Struthio camelus: one gene and its partner. The protein of the gene in region 1 binds, or shares a complex with, the protein of each later gene. Links are inferred from orthologs where the notes say so. Each region holds a gene or a part of one and is shown in the gene's direction. Other genes may lie near its edges. The genes, in order: ARMC8 and GID8.

Region 1 (7,879 bases):
TATCCCAAATAGCTGTGAACTGTCAGCTAGGTTACTGAAGATAGCTGAGGGATATCTTTAAGGGTCCTGGGTCTGTTCCTAAGATCTTAACTATACCTATGTTTTCGCGTGATCTGGGACTATCATGGAAATACTTTATTTCATCTTTCTGAGGGGGCAGAGGAAATTTTAAGCGTAAATTCTGGAAGGAGCCTGAATAGCCTCTGAAAAAATCTGAGCCTGATATTCAACTGTCTAATTCTACATGAACTGGAGTGGAAGATGTTGGTTATATTTGATAGACTTTTAGTCTGATTCCATATGATTTTTAAAGTAAATGTCTTTTCCTTTCTGATAAATGTATTTTGGCTCTCTAGAAAGCAGGAGGTTTTGCCAAGGTAGAATGCTGGTTTTTAAATCTTCAAAGATTTTATTTTTCTTTTAATGAAGTTTTTCAGCACCCACTGAGCAGGGTGCAGATGGTAAATGTACTTACCATAAAAAATGTTGGAGTACAACCTGTGTCTGATCTTTATAGAGTTGCTATGCTCTTTCTTTCAGTTGCATCCTCTTTGCAATTTAAAGTACCCATCTCTAACTGTGCTCTCATCCACTATGGATTTTCCCTGTCAGCAGGGTTCTCTGCTGCATGTAGAACTCAATTGCAGTACTGAATTTGAAGCCTCTCCAGTAAAGACGACCATAAATTCCAACAAGTATGTAGAAGAGTAGGAAAGGCTGATAATCAGTTCAATTGGCTCTTAAGATCCAGAGTCTTCATCCCTCTTTAAAAAGTTTTAAAAGTCTTTGCAATTTTTTGACTCTCTTTGATTTTAGTGAGAAATATCTGGAAAATGCTCATCTCCATGAGACTGTGGTACAGGCCATAATCACATTGTTCAGTATATGAGACTTGCCTTTAGTTTGAAAACGTTTTTACTGTTATCTATAAAGTGCTTGAGAAAAGTGGCTAACACAAGTATTTTGTTCAGAGCATGTTATATTAAATCTACGCAAAGAGCAACAAACTAAGAAAAGGGGTATAACTACTTTTTCTTGAGAAGTGGAATATTTTTCAAGTTAAAGCAAACATCAGCTGCTATTAAAGTTAACTTCTGAAAGCATCTTAAAACGTTTATTGTGCTCCCCTGTTATCCTCTGCAGAATCTCTGCTAACAGCTGGCAAACTTGGGTTTAACAGTTACCTTACAATAGCAAAAATGAAGACTTAAGTGAACCCTGACCTGGGGTGGTTTTACCTTCCCGCCCCCATTCAGTGCTGTCTTCAGGAGTAATGACGTCCCCACATCTCAAGGAACGAAATACAGGAGGACTAATACCAAAATATCAGCTCTTACGGAAAGCTACAGCCAAACTGGATAAATTCCTGCTTTTTCTTGAGGTTTTCACTACAACTCCCCCCCCCCCCCCCAAAACCGCAACAAGATTATGTCAGAAGAAGCCATGACTTTCCCCCAGGCCAGTCAGAGCAGAGGCAGATAAAGCGAAGCCTCGTTGCTTGTTGCAGAGCGGCGGCAGTCAGGAAGGCACCTCACCGGATTACCTGGGCCCTCGTGGAGCGAGGACGGGGGTTTAGTCAGGCTGCCGAGTGCTGGCGTTGCCCTCGGGGCCTTAGGGCCGCGCAGGAGGAGACCGAGGGGCTCCCTCGAAAGTCCCGCTGCCGTTCCTGCCCCGCGGATGAGGAAGACGGCAGCGGGGGCTGCCTCAGCTAAGAGCTCAGCCGCCGCCGCCTCCCCCAGCGAGAGGAGGAGCAGCGGCAGGGCCCCCGTTGCCGCCCAGGTGCCTTCCCGAGCGGCTCGGCGGGTAGGTAAGCTTTGCCCTGGCGCTGAGCGGCTGCGGGACCGAGGCCCCCGGCGAGCTGCTGCAGCAGCGCCTCTCGCCCGGCGTTATCGTGCTGCGCGGGGCCCGCCCCTCCCCTCTCCCCCTCCTTTGGGCCCCCGTAACGGCGCGCCGCGCCTGCGCGCTCCGCCCGCCTGACTCACGGGCCGGCGCGGGAGAGGCGGCTGTGGTGGCGGCGGCGGGCGCATGCGCGGGCGGAGGTGTGGCGGGGGGAAGGTGCCCGCCCTGCGGCTTGCCGTGGCGCGCTGGCGGCGCAGGCGCGGCGGCGCGGGCTCGCGGAAGGTAGCGGGGTTTCGGCGTCGGCCGATTCGCTGGGCGCGAGGTCCGCGGCGCCCCGCCCCTCCCCTCTTCTCCCCCCCCCCCCGCCCCCCCCGCCCCGGCGGCGCCGCGCTCCGCGATGTGGCCGTGCCCGCCGGCGGCGGCGGTGGTGGCGGCGGCAGCGGCGGCGCGCGCGCGGGCTTGAGGGCGCCGCCGCCGGAGTTGCTGCGTCCGCCAAGATGGCGTGCGTGCTGGAGGCGCCGCTCCGCATGAGCGTCCTCTCGGTGAGTGCCGCGCGGCCCGCCCCGCCCCCGCCCCCGGGCCCGGCCTGACCTTGGCCTTCGCGGCGGCCCCGCTTTGTGTGCGGGGTGAAGGGGGGGGCCGCGGGCCGGGCGGGCGGCTTTCCCCCGGGCCGCTGCCGTGCCGCCCTGCCGGGGCGGCCCCCGGCCGCTTCCTGGAGAGTTCGGCTCGTCTGACAGTGAAACGCGCCCGGATTTAACCTTTAACGAAGGGGTTTTCACCTCCCTTTTGGGTGGGGGGGGGGGCGGCTCGGCGTCTGCAGGCGCCCCGCCGTGAACCTCCCGGGCCCGCGGCAACTCGCGGCCGGCGAGCGGAGCCGCAGCGCCGAGCGGCCGCGTGGGGGAACGGCGGCGGTGTGGGGGGGCGGGGGGCTGTCCGGGGCCGAAACGCCGGTCGTGTGCCCTCCTGGCCGCGCTGCCGCGGCCCCCGCTGCGGGGAGGGCGCCGGTGCCCGGTGCCCGCCTCCCACGGCCGCCGGCGCCGCGGGGAGGCACAGCGCCCAGGGCTGCAGCGTGGCTGCTCCTCGGAGAGCTTAAGGGCTTCTCTGGCTGCGGTTTGCTGCTAGCTAAGAGGACCCTGAGACTATGATAACGTCAATAAATTTCTTTTTTCCCCGATACTTTTTTTTTTTTTTTTGGAAAAACTTGTTTGGCTGCATATGACCGACCTTCTTCACCAGGCTACAGATCTAATAGTCAGTAGGGTGAAAGCCGGGATGTGTTAGAAGCAGGAGGTCTGAAGTCCAAAATATTTTTTTTGCGTATAAACATATAGACCTGGCAGGTGAAAGCCCGCTGCTGTTCTCAAAAACGCTGTCCTTGGTTACGTGGTGAAAGCTGAACTGAAAGCAAATTTATTTGGCAGAACGTAGTAGTACTCTTGGAGGCAAGACGCCTGCAGTCTCTAGATGATTCTTTTTCTCTCAGACTTGTGTGGGACTACAGGCAAGAAGCTGCTGGCACCTCCAGCATCTGGAGGGGGAGGCAGGAGCAGGCTTAGTCCAAGTGTAGATGCTCCCGAAAGCGAGGAGGACTTTACAGCTTCCTTATAGCTCCTTTCAAGGAAAACTCGTAAGGGGAAAACAGGAGAAGGCTCGTAGAAGGTTGAGCAGGCAAAAAGAACTGAGACAGCGGAGAGGCGCTCTGGCACGTGTTCATGAGAACCTGGAGGGAAAATTCCCTTGCCTTTTCCCACCCTTCTCTTCTGGAATGCTTTCCTTCTCCAACTTTGGAGCTTCTCAGAGAGAATGACAGATCACTGGTGCATAAGCGTTTAACTTGCAAGCACGGTCCTGTTGCCGAGAGGAGAGTTAGTTCACTTTGTGTTATAGAGTAGCTAGGGGAATGTTATGGAGGGTGTTGTGCTGCTGTCCGTGTTGGAATTGTGGGGACCAGTTTATAGAAGGACAGAGTCTCTGAAACATGTAAATATTTCCAATAAGGTAAGTTTCAGAAAAATGTCTCAATACAAGCTTCCTTATTTTTGAGAGTTCGCTTGTGGGTATGCTTCTTGAGCAACGTTAACTGTTCTTAAGAACTTTTTCTGTAAGGGATTTTCTGCTTATGTAGTAATTACACACAATAAAATTGAAGTGAAGACAGGACTGATGCCTCAAGTAGACCCCTTCTTGCATGACCTATTCATAAATATTTAAATACGTGGAGGTGCTCCATTAACTTGCTTTGACTCATAACATGGATATCCACATTTAGGTAAATCTTATTCTTTAAATCACATTTAAACACAAGGTTAATTCCTTGTGTGGGTGTTGCCCAGCAGTAACATACTGCACGTAAATATGATTCTGTGTTTTTGCTGATATCTTGCCTGGTAGGTTTTGTAGACTTGCTGCTTTTTTAGTCATTCCTTTTTGTCTGCCATTATATGAGTTGATGTAAATTATTAAAAAATATATATATATATATATTTATTTCTCTGCAGGAAGTAACGGCCAGTAGCCGCCACTATGTTGACAGATTATTTGACCTCGATCCCCAGAAAGTCCTGCAAGGTGTCATGTAAGTCATATGAAACAAATTCAAACTGTTGTTGTACCTAGGCTAAGTTTGCTTGAATTCTAGTAGTGTGATATGTCAGTGGAAAGAGATTCTTCCCATCTTTTTAGATAAATCTTGTTGGAAAACTCGCTATGTGAATTTTCCTGCAAACATGAGAATGTTGTTTTAGCATACTATCACTTTGTGGTGCATAGGGTTAGTACCCCAGCCTCCCAGTTGCTAGAAATGAGGTAAAACATTCTGTGAGCATTCAAATTTATTTTTGATACTTTTCTTCCTTCTGGCCTTTTCCTTTTGTTCCGTTTCCAGGTCTGATGAGAATTTTTTCTCTTATTTCACTGCCAAGTCAGCATACTTGCCTCTTCAGCTGTTTCCCCTGCCATCATGCCTGGAGTGTTGATTTTTTTGGATATGACTTCTGTCTCATCAAAGGGAATTGAGAGCTGAAAGAAAATGCTTCTATAGAAATTAATTTAGATATAACTTATGTTTCAGTATGTCTGTTGCATACCAGTGACAGGAGGTAATGGCTGAAAAATTCAGTAGAAGACTCTCGCTAGTGAGCGCATAGTAAAATTGGTGCAAAGATCTAGTTGTTTCCTTACTGTCCTTGAGCTATAAGCTTTCCGTTATATTCACACGGGGATGTGGCACACAAGTCCTTGCCTAGGACTGACTTTTAGTGGTGAAACCAGGCTTTCTCAGGCTTACGTGTAACTTGCTAGCAGTGGCTAACTAGCAAAGTGCTAGAAGACATTGAAGCCCTAAGTGGATGAAAAAGCCAAGAATGTTGGGTTTCATTGCTCATGGACAGTCTGAGGTGTTTCCAATAGCAGATGAGCAAAGTCACTCTGGAAAGCGTCCCAGGGAGGGAGTAGGGAACATATCAGAGTCAAGTATCCCTTTGAAATGCCTGAAAAACCCAGCCTGTATAAAACTATCTTGGATTTTTTTGTTGTTGTTGTTGAAATATCCTTTTGTTACCTGTATAAAACCTTCTGGTCCTCCAGTGTAAATATTTACAGGTTCTTAACTGTTCCCTGTGGAAAAGTTTGGCTTTGTTTCTGCTTCTTGGCCTTCTTAGTCCACTGCTCACAAAAGTGAGTTGGATGTTCCCAGGGGCAAGGATGTGTCTCATCCTGTGTGCAAGTGGGCTGACTGAGCCCCCTCTTTTCTCCTCGGCAGATGCTCTGAGCGCTGGGTGGTGCTCCCTCCCTGCGGTCCTTTCTTTTCAAAGAACTGTGGAACCCCAACCCTTGGGAATCCCTTCCCTATCTTTTGAGTTGTTATTCGCATCTTCTGAAGTTTAAGCAAAGAGTTTTCCCAGAAACAAAAATCTTAAGCGGTCTCTTTGTCTCAGCTAGCATCTGCAATGTCAATTGATTTTATGCTGAGCTGCCTTTCAGTTTTAATGTGGTCTAAGAACAGATAAATTGATAAGGGGCAACTATGTAACTGCAGAATATGTCTCTGCAGTTAGAGATCATAAGCTATCCATTTAAAGACAACAGAATACCAATATATTTTACAATAACTTTCTTTTTTGTTTGCCAGCTTGGTTCCTGGCTTCCAATATAAGAGATGTTTTGCTGCTTTGCCTCATGAATTTTTCGTAGCTCACTATTTTGGTCGTTTTATCATGTAGCTTTTTCAGATCATCCTTTTCCTGTGGTACTTGGACATGTCCTTTACGGATCCACTTTGGATCCACTTCTTTTGGATTCTGCTCTTGCTACCGTTTGAATTTTGCTACCATGAAGACCATGTGGCAGTATCTTTGAGGCTGAGCTTGGTGGAGGAGACATTTCTTCTCAAACAAATGCTCTGAGGTTTGGAGAGATTATAAGGGGTGTGAGTAAGAACAGATTTGAAGAAGGAGGTGTCTTTTAAGAATGGATCCGAGTTATTCTAGTTGTTGGAGTAACAGATGCTGCTACTTTGAAACTGCTGAAGGAGTTGCACAGAAGATGCCTTCCCTTTAGACTCAGACCTTTGAAAGTTACAGATCTGACAGGATTAGTGCCCCTGAAGGGTACAGGGGAAAAGGAGGAAAAAGTTACAGGACCGATCCGTGACACTCTGGCTAAGATCCTAATTCTGAGAATCTATCTTTCTTGACACTAAGCAAATCCTGCGTGATGGATTTGTTTTTTCCTGAATATGGGTGGATGGATGTGATACAGTCCAGTTCAGAATAGTGTATATAGTCTCTAACAAATTCTGTCAGTCCAAGATTCTCCTCAGGCAGACAAGAACTACTTTGCCCTTCTTCCTTTGACTTCAGGGTATCTGAAAAAGGTATTCAACCTGGAATGAACTGATGCTAGGGGGAGGTGGGGAGAAGGGGATTAAAGTCCCATCAGAAGTGTCTGTCAGAAGCTTTGCCAAGTGTTCTGCATAATTCACTGAAAATCTTTGGTTCCTAAGATGTGCTGTTTTTCCTGCATCTTGGCTGAAAATACTGATGACCTAGATTTTTATTTTGATTGATGGAACTGTATGAATATCGAGGACCAGGAAATAGGCTGTCTTGAGAGGGTTTGTTTCTGCAGATTGTCTTCAGGTGCAGTAGTTCTGTTCTTCACCTGGTATTAAGGAAACCTGGAAGAATAACTTGAGTTTGGGCCTTTTCTTTTATTGCACTCTTGTACATTTTAATGAAATCTAACTTCTGAATTAGGCTTGATAAAGGTAAAATGGAGCTAAGTATTTCTTGAACTTGAAAATCATGTCAATGCAGTTGACATTTTGTAACTTGAGAAAGCTCAGGGTTACATATGCTGAAAGGATCTGAATTATCAAATCTCTTATTTCCTTTCCTTCTCTTTTTCTTTTGCCAGACAATGAAGTCTTACCTGCTGAGGAGCTTTTTCCTTTTCCTCCTTATAGGAAAACTGAGAAAGCATTTCCTTTTTGGCTGGTATTGCTGTATGTAGCTCCACTGATCTTCTTTCAAAGTCCCAAGTTCCCTGCAGTATTTCTTTTCACATCATTTCTATCGTCATATTCATTTGAGCTTTAGTAGTAGATACACAAGGAAGAAGTAAGTGCTTGTACCCACCAGTAAATGATTAATTTCAGTTCAGATCTTGAAATTTTGAGATTCTTAGAAGGATGACTACTGGCTTTTACTGTACCTGATTAAGAGCTCTTTAAAATGTATGCCATTTCTGCATCTCCACATCTGTATGGAAGTGTGCATATCTATCTTTCTATTTACTGTCCTTGTAATTGAGCTAGCTTCGTGTAGTCATAGTTTCCTTCTGTAAACCTAAACGGTACATCATGCTTATACTTGAGAGGTCTTACGAGTGTGCTTTGTGTCTACCTAGGTGTGCTTCTAAACCTTTCATCTTCCGTATACTGTTCTACAGTTCAAATTTTCTCAAAATACACTTTGAAGACTGCACTCTGCAAGGTCAGCAATAATGTCAGGTGTGCGGCTATTGAATATATTCGGTGTTG
Region 2 (7,879 bases), on another chromosome or scaffold:
AAGCTGCCAGGGATTTTTTTTTTTTTCCCAGTTCCAGGTAAACTTTTTCCCTGAACGTGTACCCTTTCACAGGGATTTTAGTGACTTCTTCAGGGATTAGTGATTTTAGTTTGGGGTTTATTGGACTCCACTCAGCTCCAAATAGCAGCTACCAAAATACCTCCAAGTAAACTCAAGTTTATCAGATCATAATCCAAGTAAGAATTCTATAAATTGCACTGAATTACTTAAGCAGATATATCATACAAGTTTCGCTTATTCTCAATTTTGTAGTCATAACAAAGGCCAAATTTCCACAATATTACTACTCCTATTACCGTAAGATTATTGTAGGACGGTGGCACATCAAAGACACAGGCTAGTTTCCAAAGAGCAAAATACTTTTCTCCCATGCCTTCTAATCCAACTTTCAAGCCACAGATGTGTCCCGCAAGGTTTTCACCGAGTAATAAAACAAAGTTTTGGTTCCAAGTTTGGGGAGAATCTTAATAGAAGTTAGGATTTACTGCTAAGAAGAAGTGGAATGATGCAGGAAGCTTTTGCCCTGAACTGCCAGACAGCTTTGTGCCTTCCTACTCCCTTTCACTTTTGTGAGGCTTAGTATCTACTAGAACAAAGTCCTGCAAGCCATACGTGTCGGTATTGCCAAATCTTTCAGTATTCCAGGCCACAAAGCACAGGGTACATAAGTGTCTCACTAAATATGCACATCGTTAAAGACAGCAAGCAGATATTATACATGATATGACTAAACATTTAATCAATAGGACACAAGTTAAAAGGAGGGGAACACAGAAGGGGACTAGACAGGTTTATATCAGGAGAGAGTTAGTACAAAGTATATGTCCTTTATCACTCAGGAAACTGCCGAATCCCTCAAACATGCAGAATTTTCATCGTATCCAGCACACTAGTAGGGAAGACAGGCCGATATCAAGATAAAGTAATTACAGTTTTATAAGTTATTATATACACTTGTGATCTTACCACATTGGGCCAATGCAACCAACAAAAAAGCATTACTATGAACAGTACTATTCAATATTATTTAACCACATAAAACAACTCAGGCATCAGAAAAGCACTTTGTTTTCAGCCTCAGTAAGAAAACACTTAATTAGCAACATTGAAAATGTTTTTGTTGCAACTCAAGTGATTATAAAACCTCTTCTCCTCTCAAATAAAGCTGTCTCTAAGAAGCTTTGACATTACCAGAAACATCAACAAACTAAAAAAAGCAGAGGAAAGGGAAGAAGAAGAGAATGCAGTGGACGTTGCATTCTATACAAACAGATTACAAACTTCTTTTTGGTAACCTCAGGGTCAGAAAAAAAAGCCCATTCCTAAAGAAATAGGTGGGGGAAAAAAGAGCATTTTTCACAACAAGCAAAACCACGACCCAGGATCTGCTTTTAGCCCATTTTTACTTTTCTTTATCCCAGAGGACAAGAAAAGGATAAAGGGAAACTTTTCTATTGAAGTTAGCTGAGCAGCCCAACTTGTTTAAAAAAAAAAAAAAAGTATTAATGCTGCACAATCACACATGCTGCGAAACAGCAGCTCACAAATTTTGGTTGGCTTATTCAGTACGGTATTCTACTTACTAGAAAGCAGTTACACCTATTCTCTGCTCTTTACCTGTAAGCACTAACTGTGGTATGAATTACACTCTGGTGTCTCCTCTCTGCTTGAGGTGTGGTTCCCTGTCTAGCAAACTCGGGAAACCCTCCTAGAGAGGGGCGTTTGCCCACTCGCTCCCTCTTTATGGAAGTCTCCTGAGAAACCCCACCTTTCAGGGAGGAGCTGATAAAATCAGGGCATCTAAAAGAAACAGAGATTTACAAGCCCGTTGGTTCAGAAATACAAGAAATGCAGGTCAGAACATTTAAGAGAAAAGTTATGGTTGCCTAAGAGTGAAATTCACTGAGAAAGGTTGTTAGATTAAAGCCTGAAGAAATCCCGCCCCCCGTCAAAGCAGCAGGAATACTTGCCAACACTGTAGCTTTGCCATATGGCTAACGACAGCTGATGGCATGTCTGGCTAAATACGTTCTTCTTTTGTGCAAAGCTCTGTATTATTTATGAGCCTAGAGGTTTGTTTGGAGAAATAAGTTAAAATCATGTGTTATCGATTAAATGCAGAGATTCTCAATTTCAACGGGGATACAGTTTTAATGAAACTGAGTTTTGGAGACTGTGCTTATGGCACAGTTGCAAAAAAAAAAAAAAAAAAAAAGGAGTGAAACAAACAAGTAATTGTGTCCTTATTCTCCCTCTGTGAAAATTGAATTTTCCAGGGGACTACCATCTCCACTAATCCACACAGAAAAAACTGCATCTCTTAAGGCCCGCTTTCCACGTAAATATACAAACTGATTTTTTTTTTTTCGTTATACAGTGCTTTCATTCACAACTCCTATTGGATTTAGCGGCACTGAGCGGAGTTTATCGCTTCTTTTCCGCCGCCAGTACCAATTCCGACAGAGATCCCACAGCAGAGCCCTCCGCCGCGGCAGCTCACCCTGCCCCCGCACGCCAACAGCAACGGAACCGTTAATTTCACATTAACGTGCCCAGCCGTGACCTACAGTAGACCCGCCTCCCTCTGCGCGACCCTGGAAGACTGGCCGGGCCGACTCTGCGGGCGGTAACCCCAGGCTGAGCCCCCGGCCCTCAACCCCCTTGGGGACGGCGGGCGGCCGCGGCCTCCCCCGGCCCCTCAGGCGCGGCCGCCTCCCTCGCACGTAGGCCGCCGCCCCCCCGCCCCCATGGTCACCCTGGCGGGGTCTCCCTCAACTCTATGGTGCTGGCGAGCCTCCCGCTCCCACCTCCCCTTTCGTCTCTATGGTATCGCCTCCCCGCTGGACGTGTGGGTACATGCAGGGACGGGCGTACGCTCTGCTCCGCGCCCCAACTCTATGGTTGCGTTTTCTCGCCGCTCTCTGGGCGCTCATTGGCCGAGCGGGCAGTTCTCGCGAGACCCGCGAGCCAGCGGCCTGGCTGAGGCGGCGGCGGGGGCCCGCGTTGGTGCGTCGGAGCCGGCAGCGCGGCGCGCTCGGTAAGATGGCGCCGGCCGCCCCTTCCCTGCCCCGCGGGACGGGGGCTGGCGGGCCCTTCCCCTGGCGCGGCCGCTGCGGGCGGGGGGAAGGCGCTGGGGCCTGCGGCGAGCGGGGCCGGGCGCTTCGGGAGCCCGGGCCTTGGCGAGGGCTGGGTCGGGGGGCAGTGGCTCGGGGGGCAGGGACCGATCGGCCCCTCAGCCGGCGCCAGGCTGGTCCCGGCTCCCGCCGCCCAACTTTCCCCGGGCCGGTCGTGGCTTCGGCCGCGAGCGTCGGGGGAGAAAAACCTGTTGGAAACGGGCCGGCGGTGGGAACGCGCGCGGGTTCGCCCGAGAGGGGTGGCGGTGCCTGTTGCTGTTGTTGTTGCCTTTCCTCCCCCTTTCGCTGCCCCTATGAGATGCAGATAGATGCCTGGAAGTGATTAAATGTCGGCTTAAATTTTTGCGAAGCGCTCTGCTTCCGAATCTGGAAAAAAAAAAAACCAAGTAGGGGGAAAAAAAAGGCAATAATATTTTGGATGTGATGTCAGGAGTACTTTTGCTGTCAACAGCCAAGCAAAGCTAGTATGAATCTTTCATTTGTGCATTGGATGCCTTAACACGTAATGTTTTGTAGCTATCTAGTACAGGTAGCTATCCAGTCGAAGCTTGGAGGAAAGCTTTAAAGTAGATGTTGTTCACAGAGGCTTTGCTTTAAATGTTTGTTAACAAATTTTCTGGTTTGCTGCCAAACTCTCGATTCATTTGTGTCACACTGTGATGCTGTGTGTGCTGTATAACTCTTATGCTATGTTTATTTGGACCACATATAAGAGAAAGATGAAAAGGTGATGTGTGAATCTTGTGTTTTGACAGTTGAGGAAAGCAGCTTTAGAGACTGGTCAGTATATGTGAAAGAGTGCAGGAACAAGGTGGGTAAAAATAAAAAATAATGATTTGGGATAAACAGGCATCTTTTGGAGTGTTAGTTTAAAAGATCTCATAGACAGCTGTAAAGGTGGTAGCAATACAGTGCTTATGTACGTTAAACTTACTTTTTCTGGAAACGTGTTAAATGAGTTGCTTTTCTTTCCTTGTAGTAAGAGGCCAGGATGAGTTATGCAGAAAAACCTGATGAAATCACAAAAGATGAATGGATGGAAAAACTTAATAACTTGCACATTCAGAGAGCAGACATGAACCGCCTTATCATGAACTACCTTGTTACAGGTAATAGTGAGTAGTAATGCTAGGAGACTCTTAAATGTGTGTCACTTATTTTACCAAGACAAACAGTTTTTTGCTAGAACATGCTACTGGATGGAGTAAAATTAAGGGTGGTAAGGATTTCATAATTACTAGTGGCTTTTCTTAGCAACATATATTTGCTCCTGTGTTCTGTTAAATGGAAACCAACTTAATTAGCTCCAAGCAAGGAGTTCAAGCAGATTTCTTACGAAAGAAATGACACTTATTAATCCCAACTCTTCTGCTAAGTGGTATAGAGAAGAGAGTATTTTTTGGAACACAGTGTTAGCAAACATGACTTGCTTCCAGCTTTAGTCCTTCTTTGTGCCATTTAAAACAGAGTTCAAGGTATGTCGCTATTGTTAAAAAGCGCTCTCAAAGCTGAACAGAACAATTGTCAGAAGCAACTTTTAACTGGCTAGAAAGTTCAACTGCAAAAGGGCACCATTATCAAAATAGTCTGAGACCAAAACCACTTACCTGTTTAGCATATAGCCTAACGTTATACTTAGAACAATCAAAAACCCTCGGAAATGGGCCCTAGTAATTATGATTAATACTATTCCAGTAAGCTGTACCGGGGCGGAGGCATTTGTATTTTATCTACACCCCTGTTTACACTGCTGTGTCGCTGGAGCCTCTGGGATGAAGGAAGAGCATTTCAGTGGGTGTTATAGTTAGGTATGATAAATCATTTGTGTGCGTATGAAAGCGGGACTTAGGATTTAGAATAGCTCTTGTAACTTTTTTCCAAAGAATATAGTGTTAGTATGGGAAACAAAACCAATTTCTTTTTTCATTTTGTTCTCAGTAAAACTGGTAGGTCCATGTAAACAGAATTGAGGGGGCATAGGGAGAAGGAAAAATGCCCAAACTTGGAAAATAGTAACATTTTGGGATAAGTATACTGCTCAATTTAAGTGTAAAACAAGTTTTATATTTAAGAGATGTTGGACTATAACTTGCATGCATCCTTAGAGAATGGGCAGTTGAATTAAGAATGAACTAAGCATTATTCGATGCCTATTAGAATTAATAGGTACCTATTTAAATGATAAGAACTTTTCAGAAGTTCAGAATTAATCTTTTAATGACAAGAATACACAAGTAATATACCAGTCTTTTAATTTAAGCTCTGTGTGTGTGTGTGTGCGCGCTTTTTTTTTTAAGGTGCTTCATTAAATAGTTTTTTAAGGGAAAATGTTTCTGTTTCAGAGGGATTTAAAGAGGCAGCAGAGAAATTTCGAATGGAGTCTGGAATTGAACCCAGTGTTGATCTGGAGACCCTGGATGAAAGAATAAAAATTCGAGAAATGATATTGAAAGGACAGATTCAAGAAGCCATTGCATTAATAAACAGTCTCCATCCAGAACTGTTAGATACAAACAGATATCTTTATTTTCATTTGCAGGTATGGACAAGTGGCGAATTTTATCTTTCTTGTCAGGGTTGCTGAGAGACTGGAAAAAGAACGGGTGTGGGTTTTAGAAGCGCCTTGAGGGGTTCTAACTGAATATGCCTGCAATTGCAAGTGTTCTTGACATCATTTTGTAGCAAGGGGAAACTTTGTGGCATGCAGTGCAGTAACTATCATATACAATTAGTAACATGAAAACTTCTAACAACAGTCCTCTCTGACTTACCAACTTCCAAATAACTATTACCTTGGATTTCTGGTAGTTCTGGTAGTAACGTCTTTCAAAACCTGTTCTTCAAAAGTGTCAGTCTTTTCAGTAGATTTTGTACACAAGTCTGCTACTCTGTCTCACGCACGTGGAAGAAATGACTTCAAACTGTCAAGATTATCAACTAGTATTTGTCTCAAATTGCATACTAATGACTGAAGGTTACAGTCTTGAAATACTGAAGATTTGCTGATTAGTTTAGCTAATATTGCTGTATTTCTCATATGTAGCAGCAGCATTTGATTGAACTGATTCGGCAGCGTGAGACAGAAGCAGCTCTGGAATTTGCTCAGACCCAGTTAGCAGAACAAGGAGAGGAGAGCAGAGAATGCCTGACAGAAATGGAGCGTACGCTGGCTTTGCTTGCCTTTGATAATCCTGAAGAGTCACCATTTGGAGACTTGCTTAACATGATGCAACGACAGAAGGTAGTACTTTCCCAAAACAAAATTCTCGTCTTTTATTCGTATGTGGTAAAATGGTGTCTAAATATTTTTAGAAATGTCTAGAAACATGTATACAGTGGTAGGTAAAAGAACAGAAATATCTCTGAAGTGAAATTCAAAAAACTGATGCTGCTAGAGTCAACTGCTTGGCTCTCTTCCATATCCTATGAGACTGGAGAAAACACGGAACTTTTTCCTGACCGTATTCAGCGGAGTCAACAAACTGTGTGCGGTCATCAATGTTTGTGTGATGTTACTGGTGTTAATCATAGGAAAACTACTACTAAACTCTAGTATTTCTTTCCCAGGTATGGAGTGAGGTGAACCAAGCTGTCCTAGACTATGAAAATCGTGAATCAACACCCAAGTTGGCAAAGTTACTGAAGCTACTACTGTGGGCTCAGAATGAGCTGGACCAGAAGAAAGTGAAATATCCCAAAATGACAGACCTCAGCAAGGGGACAATTGAAGAACCTAAGTAAAATGTGTGCAGATGGACATCAAATAATCTTAGTACTGCACAGTATACATTTATATCAGTCTGTGACTGAAATATTTTTACTACAGTACAGCACTCAATTCAGATTTTTCAATGAACATCTAATTTGAAGGGAGAAAAGTCCCTTTTGAATGCTGCAAAAACTGCATTGAAAGGCGCTGTATCTCTTTGAAAGTCTGACTTAGGCTATGCACTATAATACATTTTTAAAAAACAATTAAACAGGAAAGGAAACATAGCATTTTTAAAAGTACAGAACTCAAGGTTTCTAATTGGCTACTGATGCCTAGTTTAGTGGCCAGTGAGTTAATATGGAGTTATATTGGCAACTCTTCAGTTAAGTTTAACTGTCTCCTCTTTGAAATGTGTATATAGAACAGTGAATATTTTCTACCTTTAAGTTATAGCCACATATACATTCCCCTTGAAAGTAACTGGTCAAGTTTTCATCTATAAACTTTGCAGTAAGGTCAACCTTTTGCCTTGGAAATAGTGTACAAACTTGTAAATCATAATTTAAGGATTTTTTTTTTTCCTTGTTTCTGACTTTTTGGTGCTTTATATGGTGAGAGCTATGTTCATAATGGATCAGTGACCCATCTTTTCACAAGTAGTATTGTTGGAAATAAGTTTTCTCTTAGTTTTCGTGAATGACCAAAATGGCCCCCCGAGGCAGTTAAGAGTTTTTGTTAAAAGGGGCTTTCCCCCTATGTTAAACTTGCAGCTGTAGACACTGCAGTGATTCCAGCAGATTATCAAAGCTTTGAAGACCGCTGGGTTTTTGTAAGCTGAAAACACGTACTTGTGTTAGGAAGTGAAGTTGGCGGGGGAAGTATGCTCGTTGAGGCCTCTGATCCATCATCTTGTGCAGGTTCTGCCTTTATGCTTGCTGGATGAGAGTCTTAGTTTTAGGGCTACTTAGGGCTATTTTTATGCCTTGAGCTGAGCTGTTTTTAAAAAATGAAA

The links.
Region 2: the proteins of ARMC8 (region 1) and GID8 are in contact, whole or in part, in a cryo-EM structure (PDB 7NSC), measured with the Homo sapiens proteins. The link is inferred for Struthio camelus from reciprocal best matches to the Homo sapiens genes ARMC8 and GID8. Residues at the interface, in NP_001350870.1 of Homo sapiens: Asn45, Val47, Ile48, Gly49, Asn50, Val85, Ser89, Met92, Arg127, Arg130, Arg161, Tyr162, Tyr166, Leu200, Ser201, Tyr202; in NP_060366.1 of Homo sapiens: Ile83, Ala84, Asn87, His90, Pro91, Glu92, Leu94, Asp95, Thr96, Tyr101, Tyr183, Glu184, Asn185.

Annotation. Positions count from the first base shown.
Region 1 is NC_090950.1:5,470,110-5,477,988, reverse strand, and holds the start of ARMC8 (armadillo repeat-containing protein 8), read left to right. Parts: upstream 1-3,626; 5' UTR 3,627-3,744; coding exon 3,745-3,837; intron 3,838-4,337; coding exon 4,338-4,414; intron 4,415-7,879. UniProt on the Homo sapiens protein: Component of the CTLH E3 ubiquitin-protein ligase complex that selectively accepts ubiquitin from UBE2H and mediates ubiquitination and subsequent proteasomal degradation of the transcription factor HBP1.
Region 2 is NC_090959.1:16,276,075-16,283,953, forward strand, and holds the start of GID8 (glucose-induced degradation protein 8 homolog), read left to right. Parts: upstream 1-2,836; 5' UTR 2,837-3,058; intron 3,059-4,134; 5' UTR 4,135-4,146; coding exon 4,147-4,264; intron 4,265-5,497; coding exon 5,498-5,694; intron 5,695-6,198; coding exon 6,199-6,396; intron 6,397-6,722; coding exon 6,723-6,896; 3' UTR 6,897-7,879. UniProt on the Homo sapiens protein: Core component of the CTLH E3 ubiquitin-protein ligase complex that selectively accepts ubiquitin from UBE2H and mediates ubiquitination and subsequent proteasomal degradation of the transcription factor HBP1.